Linked DNA regions of Drosophila melanogaster. The protein of the gene in region 1 interacts with the protein of each later gene in a pairwise test. Each region holds a gene or a part of one and is shown on either strand. Other genes may lie near its edges. The genes, in order: ND-B14.5A and CG7483.

The links.
Region 2: the proteins of ND-B14.5A (region 1) and CG7483 interact in a two-hybrid assay, tested with the Drosophila melanogaster proteins (one large-scale study listed by BioGRID).

The regions. Positions count from the first base shown.
Region 1 is NC_004354.4:2,170,587-2,174,251, forward strand, and holds ND-B14.5A (NADH dehydrogenase (ubiquinone) B14.5 A subunit), read left to right. Parts: upstream 1-1,939; 5' UTR 1,940-2,056; coding exon 2,057-2,119; intron 2,120-2,219; coding exon 2,220-2,468; 3' UTR 2,469-2,846; downstream 2,847-3,665. Other genes in the region: CG3630 (uncharacterized protein), read left to right, coding at 203-499, 569-1,342; Cyp4d14 (cytochrome P450 4d14), read right to left, coding at 2,911-3,665.
Region 2 is NT_033777.3:8,311,173-8,315,364, reverse strand, and holds CG7483 (uncharacterized protein), read right to left. Parts: upstream 2,158-4,192; 5' UTR 2,028-2,157; coding exon 1,895-2,027; intron 1,835-1,894; coding exon 1,468-1,834; intron 1,413-1,467; coding exon 1,221-1,412; intron 1,160-1,220; coding exon 652-1,159; 3' UTR 501-651; downstream 1-500. Other genes in the region: Coq2 (coenzyme Q biosynthesis protein 2), read left to right, coding at 2-211; CG11698 (uncharacterized protein), read right to left, coding at 2,333-3,121; CG11694 (uncharacterized protein), read left to right, coding at 3,297-4,082. UniProt on the Drosophila melanogaster protein: ATP-dependent RNA helicase. Core component of the splicing-dependent multiprotein exon junction complex (EJC) deposited at splice junctions on mRNAs. Involved in exon definition of genes containing long introns, including the rolled/MAPK gene.

The DNA.
Region 1 (3,665 bases):
GCAAGACCATGGTGGCTGAGCTTAGATTTTAAAATACCCGCTCTAATGAATCGTTGGCAACGCGATCAACTTACAGTAGTTGCAGTGAGGGCTCGCAGCCAGTCTGGCAACGCTACCATTTGAAAGAAGAAGTTTGGCTTCCTTCCCTGAAAAACCAGTTTAAGCGCCGATTTAAGCCATTTGTGTTCTTCGTTACTTGCAGGACTCACCACTGTCCTCCAAGGTGGCCATGTTCAACAACCAGGCCACGCAGCACAAGCAGTCGCAGCTGCTGAATCCATTTTCCCAGGACGGACGCGCCGCCTCGCCGAAACCCACTTTCTCGAAGGATCAGTATGGAAAACCACTGGCCGGCAGCCTTACAGAGATGCGTGGCCAGAAGGCCAACATCCACGTGATGAAGGAGATGCTGGAGCTCTGCCAGATCATCAATTCGGAGGGCTACGACGTCAAGGACGAGCCCACTATGCGTGTGATCCCCTTCGGCGAACTTTTTAATGTGAGTGTCCTGTTTACAGCTGGTATATTTTTCGAAAAGCCCTCTAAACTGGTCACTTCCACTCTACAGATCTATAACTACATATCCGACAAGGTGGTGGGCATCCTGCTGCGGGCCCGCAAACACAAGTTGGTAGACTTCGAGGGCGAGATGTTGTACCAGCGGAGGGACGATGACGTTCCCGTCTTTCTGCTGAAGCCCATCAAGGAAATACGCAGTGAGATGGAGGCCAAGATTGAAGACATCAAGAGGGCGGCTAGTCCAGCGCCTCCGCAGTCCACCTCGGTGCTGATGGATCGCAGTGCTCACGAACAAAAACTGAAGTCGAGGACTCCCTCGCCGGCTGTGGGCAAGTCCGCCAAGTCGAAGTCAGCGTCGCCGGCACCCAAGGCTCCTGTACCTGTTCCTGCGCCTGCTGCAGAAGTCACGCCTGTGGCTGGGCCCACAACTTCTGCAGAACCTGCTCCTGTGGCAGAGTCCACTATGGCAGCAGTTCCAGCTCCGTCTACAGAGCCCACACCGGCAACAGCTCCTGCTTCGAGTACCGTTGAGATCGAGCCAGCCAAGCCAGAGGTGACCGAACAGGCGCCCGTGGCTGTGATAGTCACAGAAGCACCATCCACAGAAGAAACCACACCAACCACCAGCGAACCGCAGGCGGAGGAAGCACCCGCTGCAGTTGCACCGGCAGGACCTGCTGATGACTTACCCACAATTGTGATTGAAGCCACCGCCGAGTTTGTACGCACCGTCAGCGTGGAGCAGCTGGCGCCCAGTCCCGGAACGGCCAGCGAGTCCTCGCCAGACCAGTCCCAATCCCAACCAGAGTCGACGCCCGCTTAAGGCGGAACAGGGAGCTTGTTAGCTGGGAAGGAAGGAAGGAACATCCCCTTAAATCGTTTAAAAGGAACTCTCGCAACTACTAAAGCGGCAGCTTTAAATTGCAGTAGTTTAGTTTACGGCGTACTTAGTTTAATTTACAATTAGAGCAACACAACACTGAAGACAGAATCGAGAGTAACTTTTTATTTATTATTATTACTTGTATATTATTAATGGACGACCAAAGGAGCCAGTTTCCTCAATTTGTTAACCATTACTCTATGGAAATGAACTACGGTTTCCCACTCACAAAAGTTGGGAACGTGCAAGGCAATAAAATACTAATAAAATAAATACACGTACATAGACACAATATAACCAAGTCCTGTTTTTCTAGTTTCAAAACGATTGGAAGTGCTGGTTTCATAACTAACTAAATGACTCATTGCCTAGGCAGTTTTATGTGCTCTTTCTCGTAGTTGTTCTCTGCTTTTAATCTTTAATTAAAAATTCGGCCGTTACTATATCAACTTTTCTTCGCGATAGTTATCGATAAGTATATCAATTGCAGGGCAGCAAAGCAAAGTTAAGAGGACGAGGCGTGGGTATCGATTAACGATACTTCGTAATTTCAAGCAGCTGATATCGATTGGACGACAGGGCTGGACCTCACAAATAAATATAAAACCAAAATATTCAGTGGTTTCTCAATTTGAAGAATAATACAAACGGAAAATGTCTGCCCTGCGCCGTGATGTGTCGCCTTTAATCCAGCGCATTCGGGCCTTCCTCCTGGGTGTGAGTATCCGACATTTGGACAGCGACCGCAGAGAACTCGGTTCTCAGTTATATAAGACGGAAAATGTGAATCTCTGATTAATCTGGACGCCAATTACAGCGGGAGCACAACCTGGCCCTGCGCTTCGAGGACGGACTGGCCGATCGCACCCAGCCACAGCCGGAAATCCCTGACGGTCCATCGCATCTACTCTCGGCCAACTACTACTGCCAGCGGGATGGACGTCGCGAGGTTCTGCCGCCCATCGACCTGGTGGAGCAGCAGAAGCAGCTGGCGGCAGAGGGGGAAGCGGCGAAGGCCCCGTCTTCCAAGCTGCCCACTCCCGGCAAGGTCTATGCCTGGGATTAATGGGCCGCATCACCGCGGGAATCGCCTTTTTTTGAGTTGTAGTACGAGCCGGTTAAAGCTAATATAGAATCAAATTGAAGCAGAAATGCGTGCATTGGTATGTTCAGTGATGAAGGGCCAAGTGAAAGGCCCCTTACCAGCCCACAATGTTTCGAAACCCCACTTCCGGGAAAAATCACCATCCATTTTTTTTTGAGTTGTAGTACGAGCCGGTTAAAGCTAATATAGAATCAAATTGAAGCAGGAATGCGGGCATTGGTATGTCCAGTTATGGGGGGCCAAGTGAGAACCCCTTACCAGTCCACATTATTTCCAAATCACACTCGCCGGAAAAAACACCATCCATCACTGGATATCATTATGTACAAGTATTTTATTCAAATATTTACAGAGCCCATCACTTACAACTAGTTAAAAAAAAAAAATCACAATCCAGGAACACCTAATAGACGCGCGGCTTGAGGCCACAATTGATTCCGGTGGTCGAGCGCAGGATAACGTTCAGTACGGGCTGGACTTCTTCGCCCAGAGGCAGCAACTCAAAGTGTCTCACCATTTTGCTGATGGTGCTCTTCATCTCGAGCATTGCGAACTTTTGGCCGATGCAGTTTCTCGGACCCGCTGAGAAGGGAGTATAGGCGAATGGACTGATCTCGCCCTTGCGCTCCATGCTGAAACGATCAGGGATGAACTTCTCCGGATCAGGGAAGTAGTCTGGATCGCGCTGAGCATGGTAAATAAGAATGATCACATTCGAGTCGGCGGGTATCAATTTGCCGTCGAGTACGGTGTCCTGGGAAATGTAGCGTCCAATGATCGGCACCGAGGGAAACAGGCGCAGAGACTCCTTTATCACGCACTCTAAGTACTTGAGCTCGCCGAGTAGCTTCATAGTAACTGGAGCCGACTTGTCATCACCGATAACATCTCTGACCTCCTGGAAGACGCGAGCCTGAACCTCAGGATGTCGAGCCAGCAAATAACAGGTAAAAGCAATGCTACTGGTCGTAGTGTCATGACCCTCGAACATGAAGGTGTCTACCTCCTCGCGGATGTCGTCGTTGCTCAACGGAGCCCCATCGATGGTGGACTTCAGCAGCACATCAAGAAGAGCCATACGACGCTTCTGGCCCACATCGTTCAAGAGGGCAGCGTCGGCATCTCCTCCATCGGCAATGGCTTTTTGTAGGAGCTCGC
Region 2 (4,192 bases), on another chromosome or scaffold:
GATCTATTCCCTCAACATTGACAACCCCAGCGACTGCGCCAAAAAGTTCATATCGAACCACCAAGTAGGACTCATTCTCTTCCTCGGCATTGTTCTGGGCACCCTTCTGAAATCAGACGAAAGCAAGAAACAGCGACAATCCTCACTAACAACATCGACGGCCAGCTCGTACGTTCCAGCGCTGCCGCAAAAGCCAGAAGTTTTAAGCTGAGATGAGCCAGACGAGCGTAGATTGTAGTGTTAAATTATGTTTATAGCGCGCTTTTTGATTCGCCAAAACCAAAGTCTCTAGGTATCTGATTAGATAAAATCTTGTAAATAGGCTTATGACCATTTTTAGCTCATTTGCAATAGGTTAAGTCTTAAAGAATATTACTAAGTGCACACCTCACTTAAACATCAATTAATTCTTAATTGTAAGTGCCCGCCTTGACGTAAGAACTTACGTAAATCACCCATCCCCTGAGCCCTCCTAACCCATTTGAAAAGCAAACTGGTTTCTGTATTAAATTCTTACGTGTTATTTATTATTATTATACAGATTTTGGTTGTCTATTGAAATTCAAATACTCTTCAAATGTATTTACTTCATTCGTTTGTTGTTACGGCTAGGAAAAGTGCGTTACATAAAAGTAATGATAGAATATTAGTTTAGATCAAGTCAGCCACGTTCATGGGCATCTCGTCGATTTGTGTGGAGTAGTACTGCTCAATGTCGCGCAGGATGCGGATATCGTCCGATTTGACAAAGTTAATTGCAACACCTTTGCGTCCGAAACGACCAGAACGACCGATGCGATGGATGTACAGCTCACGGTTGTTGGGCAAATCGTAGTTGATGACCAGCGACACCTGCTGTACATCGATACCCCGAGCCCACACATCGGTGGTGATGAGCACTCGCGACTGGCCGGCTCGGAACTCCTTCATGATCTCGTCACGCTCCTTTTGCGGCATATCGCCGTGCATCGAGCTGACTGTAAAGTTAGCCTCGCGCATCTTCTCCGTCAGCCAGTCCACCTTGCGTTTCGTGTTGCAGAAGATGACGGCCTGGGTAATGGTCAGAGTATCGTACAGATCGCACAGGGTATCGAATTTCCATTCCTCGCGCTCCACGGCGACGAAGAACTGCTTGATGCCTTCCAGTGTCAATTCGTCACTGTGAGGGAATGGAATTTATGAATCATACTGCGTATATGGGGGAGCATCATATTGCTTACCGCTTGACCAAGATGCGAATCGGATCTGTCATAAATTTGGAGGTCATCTCGAGTATCTCGTGGGGCAAGGTAGCTGAGATGAGCACCACCTGGGTGGCTGGTGGCAAGTAGCGATACACATCGTATATCTGTTCCTTGAAACCCTTATTAAGCATCTCGTCAGCTTCGTCCAGCACTAGCATCTTGATGGCTCTATAAAATGTACTTATAATTATAATATTGTTTGATCGGGCACAATGAAACATACCTTGTTCGCAGCACTCGTCGCTTGATCATGTCGAAGACTCGTCCTGGAGTGCCGCTCACAATGTGTTGACCGTAGTCCAATTTGCGGATATCCTCGCCCAGGTTGGTGCCACCGATGCACACATGGCACTGGACATTCATCATGTCGCCGAGGGCAAGAATGACTTTCTGGATTTGCACAGCCAACTCGCGAGTGGGCGACAGGCACAGAACCTGCGTCTCCCGCAGCGTGGTGTCCAGGCTCTGCAGGATGGAGATGGAGAAGGTGGCGGTTTTGCCCGTGCCTGATTGTGCCTGGGCAATCACATCCCGTCCCTTGACGATAGGCGTAATGCTCCTTTGCTGAATGGCCGAGGGTTTCTCGAAGCCTTGGGAGTGCAGAAAACTGGATTAGTTCTAGACCGGCCATAGGTATACACACCACTCACCGTACGCGTAGATGCCGCGTAGCAGCTCCTCCTTTAGATTCATGGCGTTGAATGTGGGTATCACCTCCACATCCTCGCTCGTCTCGAACTCCACGTTGGAGAGGTCCTCCGCCTGGGCATTCTTGCGCGCCATGTTCACGATTTGTTCGCGTGCGGTTTCGGCTGATATTAATAAATATTTACAGTCTTTTTCGGCTAATTTTTCTGACTTTCACAGAAAAAAATGCGGTCCGCTTACTAGGGGTGGCCTATCAATTGCTTAGCAACAATCGATTATTGAATCGGCGTCGATTTAATTTGATATCGATATGTTTTCACTTATTTTGCGACAAGTGGCAACACTGATATCGGGCGGAAAAAATTTAAAGTGAATATATGTTCTTATTTATTGTATTTTATAAAATATAAATATGATTATTGCCATAACAAACAAGAAACTCAACTTGTTTTTTCCGGAGTGCTACTTCTTCTCCTGCGCAGGAAGTTCTCGAGCGACTGAAGATCCTTTCGCTTCAGCATCTTAATCCTGCTCACCAGTTTTTGCAAAGCTTCGATCCGTTGCTGTGCTTCCTTGGCGGCGTCGTTGGCCTTCTTAGCGCTCTGCTTATTTCGCTCCAGATCCTTCTGAGCCTCGCACATGCAGCTATGGAGCTCTTCCACCCGCATCCTGGCCGCTTTCAGAAGGCTGCGCTTTTCCAGGGCCTCTTTCTGGGCACTGTCGGCCATCCTCCGGATGTTATCGAGATTTCCGCCCATTTCCTTTAGCATACTCTTCATAATGTTCACGGATGTGCAGAGCTTGTCACGGATCCCCTTTGCCGACGTCGCCGAGCACGAGCTGGCAGCAATGGCTCGTTGGATTTCCTCGATAACCCTGTTCGTTTCTGCCAGACTTTTGGTGTATTCATCGAGGAGCTGCTTCTTCCCGTTGAGAGCCGCCTCCGCAGCCTTGGCCGCCTGCAACGCCCTGTCCGCCAGCATTTCCCGTGCCCTGTAGCCCGCCATCTCCGCGGCACATGGCTGCGCATCCTTGGCGTCCTTCGCATCCTTGGCCGCCTTCGAGGCCACCTGGCTGGCTTTCATGCTCGTCTTGCAGGGAAGGGAGCCGGGCTTGAAACGCGGATCATTCCGCTGGGCAGGATGCGCGGCGGTCGACAGCAGGATGTTCGAAAGAAGCAACATCGTAACCAGGGAGTCGCAACGCATTGGGAATCTTGCATCGTACATAAATCTCAAGGCTCATCAGGAAATCGAAATGTGGAGATAATAATGGGAATATAGCAGCTCCACCTTTCAAATCACTATTATTTGAAATATTTGTACAGTAACCACAAGTTACCTGGAGTATATATTTCTTAAATATCTTTAGAAATCCGTTTAATACAACTATTTCGAGTTAAGCATGGAGATAGCACGAATCGCATTTCTACTTTTCTTCCTGTTCTCAGATCATTCTGCGGGCCACAAGTTGCCGCAGTCCTCCAATGAGATAGCTGCTCTAATGTCGGATCATCATGGTGATGGCGACAACAGTGTGTCGTCATCCTCCGGCGGTGCCCCGTGCGACTTCAAGATGAATGGAAAGACCAGGGTAAAGGCCTCATGCATTGCGCAGAAGGCGGCCAAGGAAGCCATGGAGGCATCCGATGCCCAGATAGAGGCTGGCGAGGCAGCTGCCCGCCAGGTGAAGCAGCAACTGGCCGACAAAGCGCTGGCCGCAGCCAAGGCGGCAGAAGCTGCTCTGGCCGGCAAGCAACAGATTGTCGAGCAACTGGAGTCCGAGGTGCGCGAGGGGGAGCTAGTGGTCCAGGAGGAGAGCACCTTGTTACAGACCACCCAAACTACTTATGCTGCGGCCGGGCAAGCGGCCAAACAGGCGGCAGATCAGCTGAACACCATTACGCTGGCGGTGAAGAATGCGCAGGATAATGTGGTCAACTCGGAGCACGTGGCCAGTGGCGCTCAGCAGGAGCTGGGCGAGAAGCAACAGCTTGTGGAAGCGGCCAAGAAGCGGGTGGAGCTATTGCTCCGCCAGCTGGAGGTGGCCCGTGTGGATTTCAAGAATACCAAAAACGCCGCCGAGAAGGCAGCCTGTGCTGCCCAGGAGGCCAGGCATAGGGCCACCAGGGAGCGCAGGAGGGCGGAACTGAGGCACTTACTCTGGCTGAAGAGGGGGCGCACCAACTGAAGCCAATAACTTGTATATCTTATATTTTATTTTACTTTGCATTTTCAAAAGGGAGAATATAATTCAGTTTTATTAAATTCAATAGTTCGTAGGTGAGATCACAATTATAA